Linked DNA regions of Coturnix japonica. The protein of the gene in region 1 interacts with the protein of each later gene in a biochemical or structural test. Links are inferred from orthologs where the notes say so. Each region holds a gene or a part of one and is shown on either strand. Other genes may lie near its edges.

What was found.
Region 2: the proteins of APEX1 (region 1) and MUTYH form a complex in vitro, tested with the Homo sapiens proteins (3 studies listed by BioGRID and IntAct, with this or other methods). The link is inferred for Coturnix japonica from reciprocal best matches to the Homo sapiens genes APEX1 and MUTYH.

The regions. Positions count from the first base shown.
Region 1 is NW_015439873.1:108,807-114,070, reverse strand, and holds the start of APEX1 (DNA-(apurinic or apyrimidinic site) lyase), read left to right. Parts: upstream 1-2,079; coding exon 2,080-2,118; exon of another isoform or gene 2,119-2,782; intron 2,783-3,135; coding exon 3,136-3,258; intron 3,259-3,849; coding exon 3,850-3,925; intron 3,926-5,264.
Region 2 is NC_029523.1:18,649,064-18,654,605, forward strand, and holds the start of MUTYH (adenine DNA glycosylase), read right to left. Parts: upstream 3,795-5,542; 5' UTR 3,451-3,794; coding exon 3,318-3,450; intron 3,230-3,317; coding exon 3,108-3,229; intron 3,001-3,107; coding exon 2,961-3,000; intron 2,709-2,960; coding exon of another isoform or gene 2,669-2,708; coding exon 2,595-2,668; intron 2,470-2,594; coding exon 2,428-2,469; intron 2,354-2,427; coding exon 2,282-2,353; intron 2,112-2,281; coding exon 1,998-2,111; intron 1,902-1,997; coding exon 1,804-1,901; intron 1,597-1,803; coding exon 1,452-1,596; intron 1,241-1,451; coding exon 1,165-1,240; intron 1,091-1,164; coding exon 893-1,090; intron 787-892; coding exon 641-786; intron 510-640; coding exon 357-509; intron 217-356; coding exon 166-216; intron 1-165. Other genes in the region: TOE1 (target of EGR1 protein 1), read left to right, coding at 3,888-3,998, 4,182-4,222, 4,316-4,412, 4,507-4,665, 4,926-5,185, 5,464-5,542. UniProt on the Homo sapiens protein: Involved in oxidative DNA damage repair. Initiates repair of A*oxoG to C*G by removing the inappropriately paired adenine base from the DNA backbone. Possesses both adenine and 2-OH-A DNA glycosylase activities.

The DNA of each region.
Region 1 (5,264 bases):
GACAGTGGGGACCTATGGCGTCTCTATGGGGGTTTATGGGGCTCTATGGGGTCTCTATGGGGCTCTGTGTGGGTCTATGGGGTCTCTATGGGGCTCTATGGGACAGTGTCTGCACCACCGCCACCAATGGGGCGCCCATCCCCGGCCCTATAAGTGGGGGGGAGACTTAATGTGGTTTATGGGGGATCCATAGGGCTCTATGGGGCTCTAAGGGGTCTCAATGGGGTCTCTATGGGGGACTATGGGGTTTTATGGGGGACTAGGGGGCTCTATGGGGCTTTATGGGGACCTATTAGGGTCTATGGGTTCCCTATGGGGCTCTATGGGGTCTTTATGCGGTCTATGGGGCTCTATGGGGGCTATGAGGTCTATGGAGTCTCTATGGGGCTCTATGGGGTTTATGGGGGTCTATGGGGTCCCTATGGGGACCTATGGGGTCTCTATGGGGGTCTATGGGGTCTCTATGGGGCTCTATGGGGTGTCTATGGGTCTCTATGGGGCTTTATGGGGATTTATTGGGTCTATGGGATCTCTATGGGGGCCTATGGGGTCTGTATGGGGCTTTATGGGGACATATAGGAGGCTATGCAGTCCCTATGGGGCTCTATGGGGGGCTATGGGGCACTATGAACGTCTAAAGGGTTCCTATGGGTCTCTATTGGTCTCTATGGGGGCTCTATGAGGCTCTATGGGGACCTATGGGGTCGATGGGGTCCCTATGGGGCTCTATGGGGGTTTATGGGGCTCTATGGGGTCTCTATGGGGCTCTATGGGGCTCTATGGGTCTCTATGGGGTCTCTATGGGGCTCTATGAGGTCTCTATGGGGTCTCTATGTGTCCCTATGGGTCTCTATGGGTCTCTATGGGTCTCTATGGGTCCCTATGGGTCTCTATGGGTCCCTACGTGTCTCTATGGGTCCCTATGGGTCCCAATGTCCCCCTATGGGTCTCTATGGGTCTCTATGGGGTCTCTATGGGTCACTATGGGTCCCTATGGGTCTCTATGTGTCCCTATGTGTCCCTATGTGTCTCTATGGGTCCCTATGGGTCCCTATGGGTCTCTATGTGTCCCTATGTGTCCCAATGTATCTCAATGGGGTCCCTATGTGTCTCTATGGGTCCCTATGGGTCCCTATGTGTCTCTATGGGTCCCTATGGATCCCTATGGGTCTCTATGGGTCCCTATGTGTCCCTATGTGTCCCTATGTGTCCCCACCTTTAGTGAACGCGACCCCATCGATGTCCTTCGGTCCCATCCCAGCGTCCCTCAGCGCCTCCTCGATCAGCCCCAAGATGGCGGCGCGGTGATGGCGGCTCACAGGGCCGGGAGCGAAACCTGAACCCGGAAGGAAACGGTCACGTGACAGGAAGTGACCCCCGAAGAAACAGGAAGTGGGGGGGGGCCGCCATTAACAGGAAGTGGATATCCATTAACAGGAAGTGGAAGTGGGGGGGGACAGGAAGTGGAGGAAGGGGGACAGGAAGTGGAAGTGGGGGACAGGAAGTGGAAGTGTGGGGGTCCCCATAAACAGGAAGTGGGGTCTCCATAACAGGAAATGGAAACAGGGGAAACCGAAACCGGAAGTGTGTGGTGGGGGGGTTGTATTCATCAACCGGAAGTGGGGGGTGGGGGTCTCCGAAAAACCGGAAGTGGAAAAAGGAAAAGGGGGGGGGGAGGGGAGGGAGTGTCCTCCATTAACCGGAAGTGGAAGGAAGGGGGTGGTCACCCATCAACCGGAAGCGGAAGTAGAAGGGAGGTTCTCCAACAACGGGAAGCGGAAGTAGAAAGGAGGGAGGGGTCCTCCACCAACAGGAAGTGGAAGTAGAAAGGGAGAGGGGGTTCTCCAGCAACCGGAAGCGGAAGTTGAGCTCGAAATCAACCGGAAGCGGAAGTACGAAAGGAGATGGGAGACGCTTCAATCAACCGGAAGCGGAAGTGAAAAGGGAAGTTCCGGTGTGTCCTTACCGTGTCCCGGCGGTGTCACGTAGGTCGCCCTGCGGTTACTCAGCACTTCCCCGTCCCGAACGATCCCGGCTCCCACTTTATTGGCCGAACCCTCCAGGCCCAACACGGTCGGCATGGCGGACGGCTTCTTTAAGGCCCTATTTCCGGTTCCGGTGGGAGGGACTTCCGCTTTTAGCCCCTCCCATCCACATCCGGGTAGTAAAGCAATGAGCTGAACCCGTCTAGTCGACTTTACGGGTTCACTTCCGGTTCCGGTGGGAGAAACTTCCGCTTTTAGCCCCTCCTACCAACATCCGGGTTCTAAAGGAACGAGCTGAGGCCTCCTAGTCGGCTCTAAGACCCCATTTCCGGTTCCGGTGGTAGGGACTTCCGCTTTTAGCCCCTCCTACCAACATCCGGGTTCTAAAGCAATGAGCTGCAGGAGTCTAGGAGGATTTAAGGGCTCGTTTCCGGTTCCGGTGGGTGGGACTTCCGCTTTTAGCCCCTCCCACTCACATCCGGGTTCTGAAGCAATGAGCTCAGGCCTCCTAGTCGACTTTACGGGCTTACTTCCGGTTCCGGTGGGAAGGACTTCCGCTTTTAGTCCCCGCTACCCACATCCGGGTTAGAAACCAACGAGCTACGGGCATCTGGGAAGATTTACAGGCTCACTTCCGGTTCCGGTGGGAGGGACTTCCGCTTTTAGCACCTCCCACTCACGTCCGGGTTCTAAAGCAATGAGCGGAGGCCTCCAAGTCGACTGTGTGGTCTCATTTCCGGTTCCGGTGGGAGGGACTTCCGCCTTTAGCCCCTCCTACCAACATCCGGGTTCTAAAGCAATGAGCTGACCCCGTCTAGTCGACTGTACGGGCTCACTTCCGGTTCCGGTGGGTGGGACTTCCGCTTTCAGCCCCTCCCACCCACATCCGGGTTGGAACCAATGAGTTGCGTTTGTTCCTAGGGGAGACTTCCGGTAGCTTCACGAGCCACTTCCGGTTTACCGCAGCGCCAATGACGTTGCGTCACTTCCGCTTTGCCGCAGCCCCACTTCCGGTTGTGCTCGCACTCACTTCCGCTTTGCCGCAGCCCCACTTCCGGTCCGCCAATGCGATGGCTTCTGGCTCTCATCGCGGCCACTTCCGGTACCCGTCATTAACACGTGACACTGTGCGACTTCCGGTGTTCTTAAGACCTTGATTTCCGGTTCCGGTTTTCGGAGCGAACAACACAAGGGCACAGACCGGTCCGAGCTCTGCTCCGCTTCCGGTGTTTCCATGCTCTTCTACTTCCGGTATCGACGTTACTTTCCGGCTGTGAGTCCAACTTCCGGTTTCTTCCTGCTCCCTTCACTTCCGGTAACCAGCTTCCGGGTTTCGGGAATCACTTCCGCTCAGCTTGAACGTCACTTCCGGTATCCAAGTGTCTTCATGCCCTACTTCCGGTTCTTTTCCGCCTTTTGCGGACAACTTCCGGTCAGCCTATACCTCACTTCCGGTATCGCGGTGTCTCTATGCTCTACTTCCGGTCTTTTACCTTGTGACGTCACTTCCGGTCTGCTTGTCCTTTCCCTCACCGCTATTTTGTACTTTATCCTCTTTCTATCCCAACTTCCGGTTGGCGCCGACGTCACTTCCGCTTCCGCCATATCCCCGCCGCCATGTTGTAGTTTTCCTCCCGAACTCCAGACCCCGCTTCTCGCAGTGACGTCACTTCCGCTTCCGCCCCATCCCCGCCGCCATGTTGTAGTTTTCCTCCCGTACTCCATGTCCTTCCTCTCCCAGTGACGTCACTTCCGCTTCCGCCCCATCTCCGCCGCCATGTTGTAGTTTTTCTCTCCTCCCGCCTCTTCGCCGTGACGTCACTTCCGCTTCTCGTCCTTGCGACGTCACTTCCGTTCCTCGAAGGCACTTCCGGCTTTCGGAGACACGAGGTGGAGCGGGATGCCGAAACGGGGCAGGAACCAGCAAGATGGCGGACAAGGTAACGGGGGGGTATGGGGGATATGGGGGGTCTATGGGGCTTTATGGGGGATATGGGGGCATTGGAGTTTCTATGGGGAGCTATGGGGACATATGGGGTTTCTATGGGGACATATGGGGTGTCTGTGGGGCTCTATGGTGGGATATGGGGGGATATGGGGTTCTATGGGGTCTATGGGGGGATATGGGGACATATGGGGTTCCTATGGCGATCTATGGAGGGATATGGGGTGTCTATGGGGCTCTATGGGGTGTCTATGGGGCTTTATGGGGGATATGGGGGCATATGGGGTTTCTATGGGACTCTATGGGGACATATGGGGTGTCTATGGGGCTCTATCGGGGATGTAGGGGGATATGGGGTTCTATGGGGTTTCTATGGGACTCTATGGGGGCATATGGGGTGTCTATGGGGCTCTATGGGGCTTTATGGGGGATATGGGGTCATATGGGGTTTCTATGGGACTCTATGGGGACATATGGGGTGTCTATGGGGCTCTATGGGGGGATGTAGGGGGATATGGGGCTCTATGGGGTTTCTATGGGACTCTGTGGGGACATATGGGGTGTCTATGGGGCTTTATGGGGGGATGTAGGGGGATATGGGGCTCTATGGGGTTTCTATGGGACTCTATGGGGACATATGGGGTTTCTATGGGACTCTATGGGGGGATATGGGGCTCTATGGGCTCTATGGGGTGTCTATGGGGCTCTATGGCGATCTATGGGGGGATATGGCGTGTCTATGGGGCACTATGGGGGGATATGGGTTGTGTATGGGGATCTGTGGGGCTCTATGGGGTTTCTATGGGGCTCTATGGGGGGATGTGGGGCTCTATGGGGGATATGGGGTTTCAATTAGGTGTCTATAGGGCTCTGGGGGGATATGGGTTTTCTATGGGGCTCTATAGGGATCAATGGGGTGTCTATAGGATGTCTATTGGGGGATATGGGGTTTCTATGGGGACATATGGGGTGTCTATGGGGCCCTATGGGGCTCTATGTGATGTCTGTGGGGTTCTATGGGGGGATATGGGGCGCTATGGGGTGTCTATGGGGCTCTATGGGGTGTCTATGGGGGAATATGGGGCTCTATGTGGTGTCTATGGGGTGATATGGGGGATATGGGGCTCTATGGGGTGTCTATGGGGGGATATTGGGTGTCTATGGGGCTCTATGGGCTCTATGGGGTGTCTATGGGGCTCTGTGGGGGGATATGGGGAGCTATGGGGGGATATGGGGCTCTATGGGGTTTCTGTGGGGTGTCTATGGAGCTCTGTGTGGGGATATGGGGCTCTATGGGGTTTCTATGGGGGTATATGGGACATACGGGGTTTCTA
Region 2 (5,542 bases), on another chromosome or scaffold:
GGCATCAATGAGGAGGGGGGGTGTCCTAAAATTGGGTTAACGATGGACAGAGCTGGCCAGGCACATCTCCCTGCTCCAGACTGGGGAGCTCCCAGCGCAACCCCAAGTCCTGGGGGGCTCCAGCACAGCACAGGACAGCTCTGTGCACACTGCTGTGCTGCCCACCTTGGCACGGCCGCTCTGCACCCCACGCTGAGTCTCCCACGCCTTCAGCACCTAAAGGAAGCATGAGAGCACCCAGAAATAGATAGCACTCTTGTCCCCAAGTTGGGATTGGCCCACAGCATCTGGAGGAATGGCAGGCACACTGCCAGCACCTCATGAAGAGAAGGGAACATCCCAGGTCCCCCCGGTACCTTCTTCATGGCGGTGGACACAGCTGAGGCACAGAATTCTTCCTGTGTCACCCAGCGGGATGGGGACGAGGCAGCATCCAGGGCTACATCCCCATCCAGGCACAGTGAGTAGACCACATACGTCTGGTGAATGTGTGAGAAGATGTGGACAACCTGCGAGGAGACGAGAGTACAGCAAGATTGGCAGCATGCAGGCAGGGCTTGAGAAGGGTGACATCAGGGAATGGGGACCCTCCCTCTGTGTTGCGTCCCCCATGGTGCGCGGTGCTTGGCCACACACTCACCTCCCCAATGAAGCACAAGCTCTGTGTCTGTACAGGCTGTTTTATCCACGCCTGCAGGTGGTCAGCCAGGAGTTCCTTCTGCTGCTTCTCCTTCAGGCCCGGAGCCAGCGGGAGGCTGGGGAACTCCCAGAGCCCAGCCAGGAGCCCTGTGAGGGTGTGCACAGCCCAGCAGGCTCCTTTCTGCACCCCAGGAGCAAGTGCCATCCCACTACCCCATCTCAGTACCCTTTGGTGCCTGTGCCCTGCTCCCACCTGGCCCTGTACCTGAGCTGGGTCTCTGTACTATGAGGTACTCAGAGGCCCCAAGGTGGCCCCTCCGCTCCAGCACACACGTGGCTGTCTGCTCTGCCCGTGGCTGCTTCTTCGCTGCTTTGCGGGGGAAGTTGGTGACCCCCAGGCTGCTGTCCCATGGCTCGGCAGTGGGGAGGCACAAGGGACAGCCCCCAGTCCCTGCAGACACCAACACAATGGTCACAGCGGGGCCCAGATGCAAAGCTGCCACAGGGACCAACCCGGGTGCTCACCACAGTCCTCAACATCAGGCACCACAGTGGTCTTTCCAAACAGCTTCTGAGAGGCAGAGACCAGCTCCTTCTCCACCTGTGTGGGGCAACAGCATGTCCAACCCCATCTCCACATGCAGTGACCCCCAGGGCTGGCACCAGGTAGGAATGCAGGACTCAGTACTCAGCCAAGTCTTGCTTGATGCTTCAGAGGAGGTTGAGGAACTTTCTATCACCCCCTACAGGGACAGCGAGAGGCCTCTGCCACCCACAGACTGTCAAGGGATGGGTCTGGGGGCCATTCTTACCCTATGCCAGGCATGGCAGTGCTCCTTCACTGGGCACTCCTTACACAGCGGGGATTTGGGTGTGCACACAGTTGCCCCCAGCTCCATCAGAGCTTGGTTGAAGTCCCCCGGGCGGCTCCTATCCACCAGGGTGTTGGCCATGTCCCTGGGAGAGATGGCTGTGAGTGACACGAAGCTCCACATGCAGAGACCCAATGACCTCCACTTGCCTCCTGAGCCCATGACCCCCACGAGCCTCTAACGCTCCTGCTCCAGCCTCCCCCCTTCAGCTCAGCTCCCCGTGGCTTCTAAACGATCCTGCCCTCAGCTACCAACACACAATCACAGCCGCCACCAGCACAGCTCCCCTCACCAGAGGCAGTCGGTAACAGCCGGGCTGCTGCTGTCAGCACCGATGCACCGCAGGCGGCACAGCACACGGATCACGTTCCCATCCACAACACCAGTAGCCTGAAGTGAGAGCAGGGATCAGCAAACTGGGAGGTGCTGGCAAGGGGCAGGAAGGTGGCAGTGACAGGAGTCACATTCCCTCCAGACAGCTCTCACCTGCCCGAATGAGATGGAAGCAATGGCTCCTGCTGTGTATCGACCCACTCCTGGCAGCAGCTTCTGCAGGTCCTCAGCTGTCCTGGGCATCCGGCCGGCCAGCTCCGACACCACCTGCAGACAGGGCAGCCAATGTCAGCTGAGCAGACGCAGATTTACATGTGATAAGGAGGATGCCCAGCCTCCATGGCCCTGTGCAACCAGCTCAGCTCCAGCGAGGCAGAGCAAGTGCGAACCAGCAGCCACCCATGAGGCACAGAGAGCTTAGGAAATGCCTCCAGCACCTTCCTCGCTGCCTCCTGCAGGCGCTTTCCTCGTGAGTAGTAGCCGAGTCCTGCCCACAGCTCATTCACCTCCTGCCCCATGAGACACAGCGTTAGGGAGACACAGGCAGAGCAGTGAGGGCTGAACTCGTCACCACACTGCTCACCTCCAGCGATGCTGCTGCCAGCGCCTGCAGTGTTGGCCACTTCTACAAGAGGGAGGCGACAAGTTCAGGATGAGGACAGCCAAGAGCTGCAGATGGAAGCCTGCCACGGGCAGAGAGTAAAGCCTCCAAAGCAGGAGGGTCGGGGGCACTGCATGAGGAACAGTCACCTGCATCCAGCGGTTGTAGTAGTCGATCACTGTGGCCACTTGTGTCTGCTGCAGCATGACCTCAGACACCCACACTGCCGGGAGCACAGAGGGATCGGTGCAGAGGTGCCAGTGCTGCTTCCCACAGCGTGCACCCCAGTCACCGTGGTGCTGATTCCAAGAACTGCAGCAGCACCCAGCCCAGCAGCCACCCCCATCCCCATCCCCACAGGATCCCCCTCTCAGGCCCAAAGTTGCCTCTCAGATGCCACCAGGGGTCCAAGCAGCTGTTTACAGGAACAGCATTGAAGCCACAGCCTTCACAAGGCTACGCTGCATCCCGTGTCAGGCAGCAATACATGGGATACAGCCACCCCCATTCCTCACCTGCATACGCCCGTCTGTCAGCATCCTGTTCAGCTGCAGCCTGAAAGGGAACGGAGTATGAGAGACAAAGGAGCACAGCGTTCACTGCAAGGAGACCCTCATACAACATAAGATGAGTCAAGCTGTGCTACTCCCGCCTGCCATTACCAGCGTCCTCCAGGGAAGGTCCCGCCGGTTTTTATCGTACCAGGCGAGCAGGCGGTCACGGAGAGCATCGATCTCGACGGGGTCATGGAAGAGATGCAGTGAGTGCGGTGGAGCGGGAGCCCCTGCCGGGAGAAGGGCGCGGGGTGGGCTCAGAGCAGCGCTCTCAGGGCGACCGAGGCCCAGCCCTGCACGCTCCGCGCCCACACGCACCTTCACGGACCGACACACGGTTCCTGTTGCCCTTCTTGCTGCCGTTCCTGCCGTTCTCCCCATTCGGGGTCGCGCTGCCGTTTCCCCGCCGCTCCCGCATCCCCCGCGCGGCCGCCGCCCGCAGGCGGCTCATGGCGGGAACCAACCGCGGGACACACGTGCGCTTTTCCCGGGAAATGTTTCCCCTCCGGCGCCACGCCCCTTCTCGGGGACGAATCAGAGCGGGCGGCGCGGACCCGCCTTCCAGGCCTGAGCCAATCACAGAGCGGCATGACGGGAGCGGGTTCGCCCCTCCCTTCAGTTGAGCGGCTCCCCCGCCTCTTTTCCCGCCGGTCACAGCGGCAGCCCCAGAAGGACCCGCGGGGCCGCCCCGATAAACGCCGGTTCGGTTCGGATTGGAAATATCACCGGAAATCGGGATTCGAACGGCGAGAACGGAACGGAGCGGGCAGGGGCTCCGCGGGGCAGCGGGGCGGGGCTCGGGGCCGGGCGGGGCGCGAGGTGGGAACGGGCGGGTGCGGGGCGGCCCCGGGCGGGAAGGGCCCGGTGCGTGGCGGGGAACGGGCGGTGATGGCGCGGGGCAGAGTGCCGGTAGTGGATGTACAGAGCGACAACTTCACCGAGCTGTGGCCCTGCATGGTGCTGGCACTGCGCAGCGCCACCTTCATCGCGGTGGACACGGTGAGATGGGCGGGGGGGGCGGTACGCGGCCGGGCCGTGCCGTGCAGTGCTGTGCCATGCCGTGCAGTGCTGTGCAGTGCCATGCTGTGCCGTGCCGGGCCGTGCCGTGCCGTGCTGTGCAGTGCCATGCTGTGCCGTGCCGTGCCGTGCTGTGCAGTGCCGCTGAGCGCCGTTTTCCCGCAGGAGCTGAGCGGTCTGGGGAACAGGAAGGCGCTGCTGAGCCCGTGAGTGACCGTGGGGTCGGGTCCCCGCCCTCCGGCTGTTGTTGCGGTCCCGCGGCTCCTCAGCGGCCGTATCTCCGGCTGTATCTCCGGCAGGTGCATCGATGAGCGCTACAAAGCCGTCTGCAGCGCCGCACGGACGCGCTCGGTGCTGTCCCTCGGCGTCGCGTGCTTCAAACAGCTCCCGGAGAAGGTAACGGCAGCTCCCGGGCACGCGGGTGGGAGGCGGGGCTGGGCCCGGTCCGTCACCCCCCGCTCTGAGTCCCGGTTCTGATCTCATCCCGCAGTCTGAGAACACGTTCCTCTGCCAGATCTACAACCTGACGCTGCTCTGCACGGAGGATTACGTCGTCGAGCCGCAGTCGGTGCAGTTCCTGGTGCAGCACGGCTTTGACTTCAATAAGCAGTACTCACAGGGCATCCCCTACCACAAGGGCAACGATAAGGTACAGAATCATGGGCTGATGCCCTCGCTCAGCTCAGCTTGCTCTGCTGTGAGCTGCGCTCCCAGCTGAGTGCAGCACAGCCCTTTCTCCTCCCTGTTGTTCATCCCTTGTTGTAGCTGCTTCTCCAGCTACGTGGGTATCTCCATTGTCAGAACACAGCGTGGCTCTACATGGAGTTCTGCTGTAACATGCTCTGAGTTGCCATTGCACCAGATGTCTTCAGTGTGTTAAGACTTGTTGACTAATTCTTCTTCTTTTAGGGCAATGAGAGCCAGATCCAGAGTGTCCGGACTTTTTTCCTGGAACTCATTCGAGCAAAGAAACCTCTCGTCCTCCATAACGGCCTGATTGACCTTGTCTTCTTGTACCAGTGCTTCTATGCTCACCTCCCAGACAGCCTTGGCACCTTCACCTCTGATCTCTCAGAAATGTTCCCAGCAGGAATATATGACACTAAATACGCTTCAGAGTTTGAGACCCGCTTTGTTGCATCCTACTTGGAATACGCTTACAAGAAGTGGTGAGTGGCACGCTGCTATTTAATGCTCTGGGACAAAAAGACATGGGATTCAGTTTGGTTTCTTTTTCCAGACACCAACATTTAAATCGGCATAGAAACAACTTCTCATTAAAGTTCTATTCCCTGGACTGTCTTTGCAGCAGGCTGTTAAGCTGGAGCTCAAGGACAAGAAATGAGGGAAGCGGAGAGTTGGCTCAAAGCAGTGTGTTTGTAGCAGCTCTGTGCTGGGTGCTTTAGGCAAATTAACCACAGTAACTGCGTCCTCTTGTGTGTTGCAGCAAGAGAGAGAACAGCAAGCTGCAGGACGCCAGCAGCCAGCACATCTCTGTGGAGTTCTGCAACTACTCTGCCAACATG